Oryzias latipes: one gene and its partners. The protein of the gene in region 2 purifies or fractionates together with the protein of the main gene of each other region. This does not show direct contact. Links are inferred from orthologs where the notes say so. Each region holds a gene or a part of one and is shown on either strand. Other genes may lie near its edges. The genes, in order: mif4gd, slbp and ctif.

Region 1 (3,697 bases), on a different chromosome or scaffold from region 2:
GGAATATAACAGCAAAACTGGAGGTAAACTAAAATGTGTTTTTTTTTTAAATTGTCATGTTACACTGAAATAGAAAAGGTAATTTTCTACTAAACATAAAGTAAAGATCTTGGTTTGCATCAGACTGGAATGTCTTTTCCAGCTAGAATGAACATGGTCTTAAAATAAAGAAAAAGACTTTCAAATTTAAAAATATGTCATTTAGAAACATAAAATTGAAAGCTTTCTGAACTATTGCACAATCCACAGCCACCACTTCTCAGTCAATCTGCACAACACACCCAAAACTAAGCTTTTGTATGAATGATTCTCTCGTCAGGCTGTTCTAACTGCCTGGAAGAGCTGCTGTTTTTTTTGTCATCAGTTTAAAAAGAAGTGAGGGCTCTCATGTATTTTGAAGGTCTAATGCTTTGCACCTCCGTCAGTCAGATATTTCGCTGTAGTAGTACTTGTTGGCAGTGCTGCTGAGCATCCAGCCTCCAGCCCTGAACTCTAGGATTTCCAAGAGGAGCAGGCGTGTCATGGAAGTAAGGCCTTCCTGGAGGAGGAATCCGTCCCGGAGCAGAAAGAACAGCTGGTCCATCCGCTGGCTGTTCGCCTTCTCCAGCTGCTCTCCAATCCGGTGCAGCTGAAGAACCAGACAGTCCACCTGAAGAGGATGAGAGGAAGACATCCACCTTATGAAGCTACAATGATTTTACCACACTTTTCTCAAACACGTTAGCACATTCCCACCTCCTCTTCGTTCTTTAGGGCATCCGGCTGTGCCAGTCTCATCATACAGTCATAAACCGGATGGACCAGGGCCACCATGGGCATGTTGTTCACCTGACAGGGATGCAGGCACACAACACATAAGGGCAGCCTTTAATAAACTTAGTAATCAATGGCAAACTGATCTTACAAAGAAAATCCATATTGATTCATCAAATGTCTGAATCAATTTTCCTTTAAAGTAAAGTCTACTTTCATTAGGTTTTCAAAGTAAGAATTTTGAATTTTAACAATAAAAAGTCCACCTTTGTTCAGTTTAAATGACTGTATGAAATGTGTTTTTTTAACAAAAACATTTTTTTTAAATAAAAATGTTGGAAAATGAATCAAAATCGAATCTAATCGAGAGCTTGTGCATCAAAACTGATTGGATACAGCATTTCGGCATTGATACCCGGAACTAACATTAATAAATACATATAATTAATTATTAACTGATGGGAAAAAGTTAAAGCTGTGACAAAATGCAATGAAATAAAATAAAATATCAAAAACTTCTACCCAAGAACCCGAAATATACCTGATCACATTTAACACGCAAAAAGAATAGAAAAAAAGATCCAATGCCGTCATAGAGCAGCGATTTTGTTTTGAAAAAACATAAAGATATATTTGATAAGAGTTATGCATTCAGAATGGCTGACAGAGGCAATCCTGAATGTGTGTTGCACTATGTTTCCTCTGCTTTAGTTTGATCAGCAAAGATAAATGTCAAAGTCTTTCAGAAAGAAATAAAGAAAAAACATCTGTGCTTTTTACCTTGAGGTAGTCAAAAATGTTGCAGATAAAGGTGACATAGCACACCCACTCGTGTATCGAGCGAGCCCGCATGTCCTCGCGGTCCTTGAACTCCCGCTGCAGTCGGTTCAACAGGTTTCGCCTGAATACATTTCCATCGCTTTGCTTGGCCTCAGCCTGAGGTGGTGATCAGGAATCAATCAGAGCGTGATAAAAGCATAGATTAAAAACAAATCCCAGGACAAACAGTGGCAGAGGGGAGATGATTTATGAAATAGTGAAAAGCAGTCTTGGAGACTTAATCAGATGATATGGTTTTTCCAAATATTTAAATTAGGAGATGCTCTGAGTCAAGTTTTAAAGTATTTCCCCATGATTACTAACCTGGACAATAGTGTAGCAAATGCGGCCCGCCTCTTTGCTGAACACCTGATCCTTTAGAGACTGATCTACAATGATGTTAGACACTTTCTCCAGATCCACCGAACTTGGATCTGAAAGTTAATTAAATAACATTAAAATGTCTTCTAAACACATTTTTAAATCATAAAAAGAGCCTACAGAATATTAAAGGAAAATGTTGACCTTTCAAGGCAGTTTTCAGTAACATCTGTGTGTCTGGGTCAAATGACTGGAATCTGTATTCGTCCGTGGAGTTTTCCATTACAGTTGGATGAGCTTCCGTTTCATCTGGGGACCAGCACATGTGGAAATCAAACTGTCTTCTGGTCTCAAAGCTTTTTTTCTTCAATTATACAAGATTCTTGATTGCTAAAATCAGTGAGCTTCAGAGAACACATCAGCTATACAGAGACTTGTGACAAAAAATGCAGCAGTCATCAGACTGCTCCCTGCAGCCCATTCAACTGGGGTTAGAGGGGATTACGCCAGACTCGGGTCAACTAGAAACCATCTAACTACACCAAAGCACCCGTTTTCCAAAACAAAACAAACATTTATTTCACGTTCAGATTTGAGATTCGTGGATTTCTTTAATGTAATAATGTAACCATACTAAATTTAGAACTCCTTTTTTAAAATCACATTTCCTATAAATTGATATTTACTACAAAACAGTTCAAACACTAATTGAACTAATTAACAAACCGGTTTGCTTTGCTAGCTTGTGTGCTTCGGCCGTAAACAGCTAAACGTCAGGCATCAGGTTTGTTAGCCGTCATAATATCCATCCGCGAAAAGACACAAACGGGCGAAACTTTTAACAAAATGTAAGTAGTCAACATTTTTGTTACGTTTACAGTGTGAAGATATGCCAAAGGTTGCGAAAATATACCTATTTGACTCATATATGATGGTCATAATGTTGAAGTAAGGGCAGCCAAGCGCTCGTCGAAACTATCCTCCGAAGATGAAGTGTTGATGTCAAGATGTTTGTCTTTTTTTTAATTTACCGAAAAAAACAAAAAAAAAACAAATTCGGACTAAACAGCTTATTATCCATATGTTTTAATGAATGCATTTATTAAGATATATAAAACACGTTCTATACCGTTAGAATTTAATCCGTAACCGTTTGTGCGCTAAACTGGTTAGGGCAAATAGAGAGACATCTTGTTGCAGTATGGTATCTTTGATGGTATTAGGCACATGCGCTGTCCGAGTTTGCGGAAGTGTTGGAATAGTATTGTGCTTTTATGTAATGGGTCAGTTGGAGAGCTGCAATCATATATATGCATGAGTTGTCTTACAAGGTAAATTATATTTTATATTTACATATTATTTATATATTGTTTTTGTAACGGAAACGAAGCAATAAGTGCTATGTTTTTAGCCTAGCTAGCCCCACGTATGCGTTGACTGTCCTCTATGTACTACAACATGTGTTACGAAAGTTGATTCACCAACAGTTATATTTATGTGTGGGTGGGTGTGTGTGTATATAAAACAATATATAAAATTATAGTGATTATTGTGTCATTAATATCCACAAGATTTCTTTTTTTAAAACATAGTTTTTAATTAACAAAGTTGAAAGAACGCCTACTTTCTGCTTTAGTTTGAAGTTGTGCAGACATGGTGGGTTTCGACCCTGGAGCAAAGGAGGCTGCTATCTCCCCGAAAGAAGCCGTGTTGGCCGGTTCGGCTGCTGGGATGGTTACCAGAGCTCTCATCAGTCCCTTTGACGTGGTAAAAATACGATTTCAGGTAATTGTGCAGTAGATGG
Region 2 (3,755 bases):
ATTTTGGATAAATTGCACTAAAGATAAAATATAAAAAAACGAGTTATCGAGGGCATGTTAATGAAAGGTGTCAGAGCAAAAAAAGTTATTTGGACAAATAAAATGACTGAGTAACAGCTGTTTATTTCTCTATGGAAGTTTATGGCATTTTAGCTTTTTGGAACCAGCGGGTACTTCCTGTTTGGAATGCCAGGGGGAGGAGTCTGTCGGTTCCGTTCTCATTTACAGTAACTGGTTGAAACACAGGACAGTGGTTGTGGCTGTCTGGCTGTAGATGGAGCACTTGGCCTCAGTAATGTAAATGGACCACATCATCATCATAATAATATACCTGGAACGTTACCTGGAATGTCTCCCTTCTGTGCGCTCATGCTCGTCTGTGCGCTCATGCTCGTCTGTGCGCATGCTCCCGTCTACGCCTCTCTTCCTGCAGTGGGACCACCGGGACGGACCGCTGCTGGACAGTAAAGAAGAGGGGGGGGGTCTTCATTATGAGTGCAGACATGCCGTGTGCATGGCTTTAAAACTGTTGCCGTAAACCAGAGGGTTTGGGTTTCTAACAGAGCTTGTTGTCTCTTCTGATCTATTGTAAAAGTGTTCCCAGTGGTCTTTGAATTAGGATCAAGGCGTTTTTAGTCATAATCTAACAACCTATGTCACTTTCTAAGACACGTGTCAAACTCAAGGCCCGCGGGTCAAACGTGGCCCCCCATGTCATTTTCTGTGGCCCGCAAGAGCATAAAAGTTTTTAATTTCTCAAATAAAAAATAAAAATTGGTGTGTATTTATTCATATCTAGGGAGAATCAGACTTGAAATATGGGATTGGGCAACTAAACAGTAGGACTTAAACACTGTCCATATAACTTAACCTGACAGAATCAAATGTAAAAGGATTTATGCTAGAATAACAACAAATATATGTTTTCTATGCAACTGGAATTGTCACTTTAAAAAGTTAGAATAAATAAATGAGTAATTTAACATTAAGTAGTAGTTACATTTATTTTTCAGGTTTATCTGGCCCTTTGAGGACTGCAGCTATGCTGATGTGGACCTCAGTAAAAAATGAGTTGGACACCCCTGACCTAGGACATAGTTTCTGCAGAGCGGCAGGAATTCTCCTCTGAGTTGTGGCTGTTGGCGGTGAGAGGACATGCCCTTTTTACCCATCATGCCTTTGTTTGCTTGCTTACAGCTCCAACTTAACATTATCAATGCAACAAAAATAGCCAGCGATATCGGATCTATCCAGACGTCCAGTTTGGATCCAGATTCCAGCTCAGACGAGAAAACAAAGACAAACATGGATCTGTTTGTCTGACAGATGATGAATAAGAATGGAGAGGAGCAGGGATCTTGTATTTTTTGTGACGTCTTTTCAACGTCACAAAAATGATCTTTTTACTCTTGATTAACTAAAACTTTAATAAAGAAAAACTCCAAAAAGTTTTTTAAAGCTAATTTTCTCTCGGTGTGTCCTCCATCATCAGTCAGACGAACATGTTAAAAACACAATGTTCCTGTCTAAACGCCTCACAGCAGCAGGTGGAAATGCCTTTACTGCATTATATGAAGTAGGATCTGCACTAAAGGTGCGGCTTTGGCGCGCATTTGCCCCGCGCAGCGGAACCAAGAAACAGTGCGAGGTTTTCCGGAGGACTGTTCCCAAACAGAACACGATCCAACAGAAGAGGATCCACAGAACCACACACGACACGTTAAAGCTCGGATATTTACATTTCCGTCTCCACTAAACCCGGTTTAAAGAATGAACACCGACGTATATAATGATCCGTCCCGGTTCTGTTAATAAACAGCTAAACCTGCTCGTTCGGTCAAAACAGTTTTTTGTGGTCGAGGACTCTCAAGACCTCTGAGGTTCTGGAAACCCGCCAAGAACCGACTAAAAACCTATGTGTTTAGAGTCAGGAGCAGGACTGGAGTTCCCTCTCTCGGTAGTTCGGTCTGCTGTCCGCCGGTCCCGGCGTTCAGTCCGAACGGAACAGCCTTCTCCGAATTCACCAAGCTGGATCGGAACTCCTCACCTCCGGGTGTGTTCGCGGCGGCTGCTGGTGGCGTCGGTCCGCCGGTCAGGGGTTCTGGTAGACATGATCCGGTTCTGCGGGAAAACTGCTCGTTTGACACCAAAACCCGAGTTGCGCCAAGCACAGAAAACAAAAACCCGCGGCGCGCCAAACACAAAGACGAGTGCTACGTCACTTCCGTAGGCACCGCGCCAAACACTCCGCTGGGAACCACGTGACCATCGAACCCTTCAATTTAAAAATGTTCAGACTTGTTTTTTTTATTTTTGTATGAAAAAGAATATAGTTTGAAATACAAGTAAATACATTTAATCATAAAAATAAAAAACCTTGACTCCACCCACAATAACGGCAAAAGCTATTACGTCATAAAGGGTCTTCTAATTAACAAGATTTTTTAAATCAAAACTCATATGACATGGATCTGACAGCTTTGAGCTGTTTTTTTATTTTCACACATTTAAAATATGTAATTGAGCACAATCAGAAATTGAGAGACAAATAAAAACAACTGCGATGCTTATTCTTTTACTAACTTTAAAGGAAAAATCAAACATGTAACTCTTTCATTAAATGTGTCTGTGTTGTTCAGTCTAATGTCTACAGTTAATAGGGTCGACTCTATAAAAGAGGAGCTTTTATCGAGGGAACATTTAATCTATAAGTGACATCTTCTAACATTGTTTGCCTACGTTTATTTTAAACAGTAATGAATTAAAATTAGGGGTTGTCAAAATGGTGAGAAAAACCATCAATCTGTTCAAAATGTATTGCAATTGAATTAAGCCGAGCAAAGCTGCACAGTGGTGTAGTGGTTAGCAATGTCCTTTTTATGTGTTGGAATCCTTGATGGGTTCTTTTTGTTTAGAGTTTGCATGTTTATCCCAAACATCTGTGGTTTTTCTCAAGGGATTCTTGCTTCCGACCACAGTCCATAAACATGCAACACAGGTTAATTGGTAAATTATCTATTCGGTGGGAATGTGAGTGTGTGTGTTTCTGTGTGGCCCTGTAATGGACTGTCAAACTGTCTACCCCACCTTTGCCCAAGAGTACCTGGGTTGGCTCCAGCAACTAAATGACCCTGAACAGCATTAAAACTCCAGGCTTCAACGTAAAACTAACCTTTGATTTCAGCGTTGCAGGGTTACATCTATTTTTAAAATTGAAATATAATGTTTTGGCTCAAGACAAATTGACCATTTCAAAAGCTCTTTGCATCTATTTGGGATTATAATATCACAACCATATGTTTTTTGGAATTCATTGTACCACTTTCATATTATTCTGTTGAAAGTGTTTTTTCCATAATTAAAGGAAGTATTCTAATTGTTAAAAAGATATTTCATAGATTCAGTATTGTAATGGAATTTAATACAAAGTACATTTTGAAACACAATATGTCCTAAAAGTACCTGTCCTAAAAATTTGCTTCTGTGGTTGATGTACCGGTAGCTTATTCTGCTTGTTTTTCTGTCTTCCTTGATCTCTGTTGCTCTCAAACCAGCTGTAGGACCTGCAGCTGTGCAGGAGCAGGGTTCATGGACCTCTTGTAACCATTTTTTTAATTATTTATTCAGCACTTTTCATACATATTGTTAGATCACAACAACCCATGTAAACAGTTCTCCACCTATACTGTAGACAGTATTAGCAGGGAAGCGCTCCTGAATCTCCTTCAAACTGACAGTGGGTCTCCATGACACTC
Region 3 (3,655 bases), on a different chromosome or scaffold from region 2:
GTGGTGTGTGTGTGTGGGGGGGGGGTTTAAAAATACAAAAACAGTTTTATTTAATATTTTGTTTATGTATTTATTAGTGTACAGTACTTTGTGTTACCATGTGTGAACAGTAGGGTGGTCCTTCCAGAGGGCTAAATTTTCAAATTAATATTTTTTCAGCTCCAACCCCTGAAATCTGTTGGAATAGCTGAAAATACTCTCCTTGTAAATTTTTTTCCAATTCCAACAACGTTTACCCCTCCCTCAATGAGACTGGTATGGTGCCTCAGCAGAAGAGTAAGGAGAACTAAGCTGGCTGCCAATAGATGGGCTTAGCAGTCTCAGAGTGAACACTAACAAATGTTTGGGACAGAGACTGTAGATTGGATATGGAATATGAATATCGCCTTTTTAAGAATTTTTTTTCACATTTAGAACAAACAGGAATACAAGCATACTCAGTTATATAATGGATGTTTTGAATGTTTACAATTTTCATCATCATTAATATTTGTTCTTTTTCATACATGTAGAATTGTAGATTAAATTGTTTGAGATCAGTTCTGATGTTAAAACTTTCATTTTAATTCTAATTTTAATTGTTATGTTGTTTTTATTCTTTGACAATGCGCACCCATAGGGGCCGAAGGGGAAAACTTCTAGGTCACTGAGGGAGGGGTAAATATTGTCCAATTGAGAGAAAAATTCCCAAGGAGAGTTTTTTTCAGCTAATCCAACCAACTTCATGGGTTGGAGCTTAGAATTTCCAATTTCCACTTTTAAGGACAACCCTAATGAACAGTGATATACAAAGAACGATTAATATGAATTGATGTGCGTCAGCCCGAATATGAAGGATGCATTCAATTCAATTTTATTTATATAGCCCAATATCACATCACAGTTGTCTCAACGGGTTGCGTGGCATCTCCTCCTTGCTCCAGGTTTGACAGCTTGTGGCTTTCAGCTACATTAACATTTTGGTTCTAAAAAAGGTTGATGACAGTTGAAGTTGGGCCAGACTGAGGCTAGTTTATATTCACATAGTAAGCAAAGCGCACCAGAGCCCTTTCAGAAGCAGACCATCCATTCCACTTGTTTGGTCCAGACCAGAGTTCGGCCTTATTTAGTGAGCAAATGCTGGTCTATTTTAATCAAATAGACAAGGTGGGTGTGAATATACGCCACGCTCACTTGTATTACTCTGAACTGTTTTAATGGTTGTGTGTTTTCTGCGTGCAGCAGGAAACAGTATAACATTTAAATATTCAGATATATCATCATAGTTTGTCGCTTGATTAAAAAATGAATGAATGAGCTTCTCAATCTAGATCCACACAGCTTAATTAGGAGTGCAGAAACAATTAAATTAAAACCATCAGTGTCTGGTAAGGACAGAGCTGCTTACATAATCCCACGGTGCAGGTTGAATAACTTCAGCCTGTCTTCAGCTGTGCCAACGTGGCTGGTACTCAGTGAAGCCGCTAAGTACAGTCAGAACCATACATATTTGGACAGAGACACATTCTAGTTTCTGTACATTACCACAGTGAATTTTAAATAAAACAACTCAGATGCCATTGAAGTGCAGACTTTCAGCTTTTATTCCATGGGTTAAAGAAAAAGATTGCATAAAAATGTGAAAAACTAAAGCATTTTTTTAAACACAATCCTTCATTTCATGGACTCGTCAGTAATTGGACAATTGACTTCCATGCTATTGAATGGGCAGGTGTGGGAAATTCCCTTGTTATGTCATTATGAGTGAAGCAGATAAAAGGCCTGGAGTTGATTAGAGGACTCGTGCTTGCATTTAGAAGATTTTGCTGTGAACAGACAACATGCAGTCAAAGGAGCTCTCCATGCAGGTGAAAGGAGCCATCATTAAGCTGAGAAAACAGAAAAAAACCATGCCAGAAATTGCTACAGTATTAGGAGGGTAAAAATCAACAGTGTGGTACATCCTGAGAAAGAAAGAAAGCACTGGTGAACTCAGCAACGCAAAAAGACCTGGACGTCCACGGAAGACAACAGTGGACTTGATCTTAACCCAAATGAGCAGCATTTCACTTGTTGAAGACTAAACTTCAGACAGAAAGGCCCACAAACAAACAGCAACTGAAAGCCGCTGCAGTGAAGGCCTGATAGAGCATTCAGAAGGAGAAAACCCAGCATCTGGTGACGTCCATGAGTTCAAGACTTCAGCCTGTCATTGCCAACAAAGGGTTTTCCACCATTTTGTTTTCAGTTATTTCATTTGTCCAATTCCTTACGAGCCCATGAAATAAATGAAGGGATTGAGTTTAAAAAATGCTTTAGTTTTACACATTTCTATGCAATCTTTTTGTTCAACCCATGGAATAAAAGCTGAAAGTCTGCACTTCAATGGCATCTGAGTTGTTTTGTTTAAAATTCACTGTGGTAATGTACAGAGACTAAATAAGAAAGAATGTGTCTCTGTCCAAATATTTATGGTCTTGACTTTAGATTTTACTATATCAAACCTATCAACCCTTTACAATATTAAGTGTCTTGCTGTTTTTTTAAATAAATTATTTTTTACATTAAAGATCAATTTTTCATAAAAATTGTTTGACTTTTTTTTCAATAAAACTTTTTGTGACCAACATTTTCAGAGGAGGCAGTGAAGCTGGTTAAATATCAGAGCAAACATGTTGAAATATCGGGTTTTAGCCTGAAAACTGGTATGGAATAAGAAAAGCAAAGTTTGGTTTGAAAGATTATTTAGGAAAAACAGAGAGGATTGTAAACACTAAGCTTTAAAGCATGAGACTGACTAGCAAAAGCTGTGAGACAGCATCTACATTTGCAACATGACTCACCGGAAACTATGTATGGAATCCAAAACTAGCAGACACAAAAAAGGTGTGAGACACTAAGACGCATACCCGCGTGAGTCCATTGTGTTGGCGGCCCAAATGTCTGTTCCCAGGATGTCAAAGGAGCCATCTTTGTTCCCGTTCTAGACAAAAACAAAGATGACAAATTCACACCATATTTCAGTTTCAATTTGTGTTTTTTCTTTTCCTAATAAAGTGGACATTTGCACGATGCCAGAGGAGAACACTCAAAACTGCTAATGAAAGCACACAGGCACATCTTTCACTACCTTAGCAGGAGCTTTGAACTGGTTATTCCGGCCTCTGCTGCCAGAACGGGAGCCTGACCCCTGTCTGGACCCTGAACTAGGCCTAGAGCCAGTACTGCCATTGCTGCTGTGCTCCCACTCGTCCTGCAGTTTAAAGGGGAGGAAAGCAGAAAATGCAGAGACTATGATATACTGAACATTTATAAAAGACATGACAGTCCGGAGGTTGTGTCAAACTAAGAAAAACAAATTGAGAAAAATCTTAATTTAACTTGTAAGTCAAATCAGGTTACAGCTTAGCCTTAATATTTGCCTTTAGGCAAGAATTCATAGTTTCACTCAAACCAATGAACTGGCAGTTTCTGCCCCTTTGGTTGGTTGTGAGCTTCATTAAAACTGCATCAAGTCAACATAATGTCAGAGTGCATATTGCTCAGCTGTTATCTACCTATCCAACAGTCTGAATGTTGAGTTGAAATAATAGTTGGAGTCTCTTTTTCTTTATGTAGCTTGTGAAGTATAAATGTTTTGGCGACCAGAAATTTCAAATTAGCACAAAAATATGAT

The links.
Region 1: the proteins of slbp (region 2) and mif4gd purify together in Homo sapiens (affinity purification with western blotting; 3 studies listed by BioGRID and IntAct, with this or other methods). This does not show direct contact. The link is inferred for Oryzias latipes from reciprocal best matches to the Homo sapiens genes SLBP and MIF4GD.
Region 3: the proteins of slbp (region 2) and ctif purify together in Homo sapiens (affinity purification with western blotting; 3 studies listed by BioGRID). This does not show direct contact. The link is inferred for Oryzias latipes from reciprocal best matches to the Homo sapiens genes SLBP and CTIF.

The regions. Positions count from the first base shown.
Region 1 is NC_019866.2:13,000,987-13,004,683, reverse strand, and holds the start of mif4gd (MIF4G domain-containing protein), read right to left. Parts: upstream 2,915-3,697; 5' UTR 2,820-2,914; coding exon 2,807-2,819; intron 2,742-2,806; exon of another isoform or gene 2,234-2,741; intron 2,203-2,233; coding exon 2,098-2,202; intron 2,007-2,097; coding exon 1,897-2,006; intron 1,690-1,896; coding exon 1,534-1,689; intron 829-1,533; coding exon 736-828; intron 650-735; coding exon 422-649; 3' UTR 1-421. Other genes in the region: slc25a19 (mitochondrial thiamine pyrophosphate carrier), read left to right, coding at 3,547-3,678. UniProt on the Homo sapiens protein: Functions in replication-dependent translation of histone mRNAs which differ from other eukaryotic mRNAs in that they do not end with a poly-A tail but a stem-loop. May participate in circularizing those mRNAs specifically enhancing their translation.
Region 2 is NC_019868.2:4,691,571-4,695,325, reverse strand, and holds the start of slbp (histone RNA hairpin-binding protein), read right to left. Parts: upstream 2,236-3,755; 5' UTR 2,113-2,235; coding exon 2,048-2,112; intron 458-2,047; coding exon 344-457; intron 1-343. UniProt on the Homo sapiens protein: RNA-binding protein involved in the histone pre-mRNA processing.
Region 3 is NC_019870.2:9,661,434-9,665,088, reverse strand, and holds part of ctif (CBP80/20-dependent translation initiation factor), read right to left. Parts: intron 3,233-3,655; coding exon 3,110-3,232; intron 2,963-3,109; coding exon 2,889-2,962; intron 1-2,888. UniProt on the Homo sapiens protein: Specifically required for the pioneer round of mRNA translation mediated by the cap-binding complex (CBC), that takes place during or right after mRNA export via the nuclear pore complex (NPC).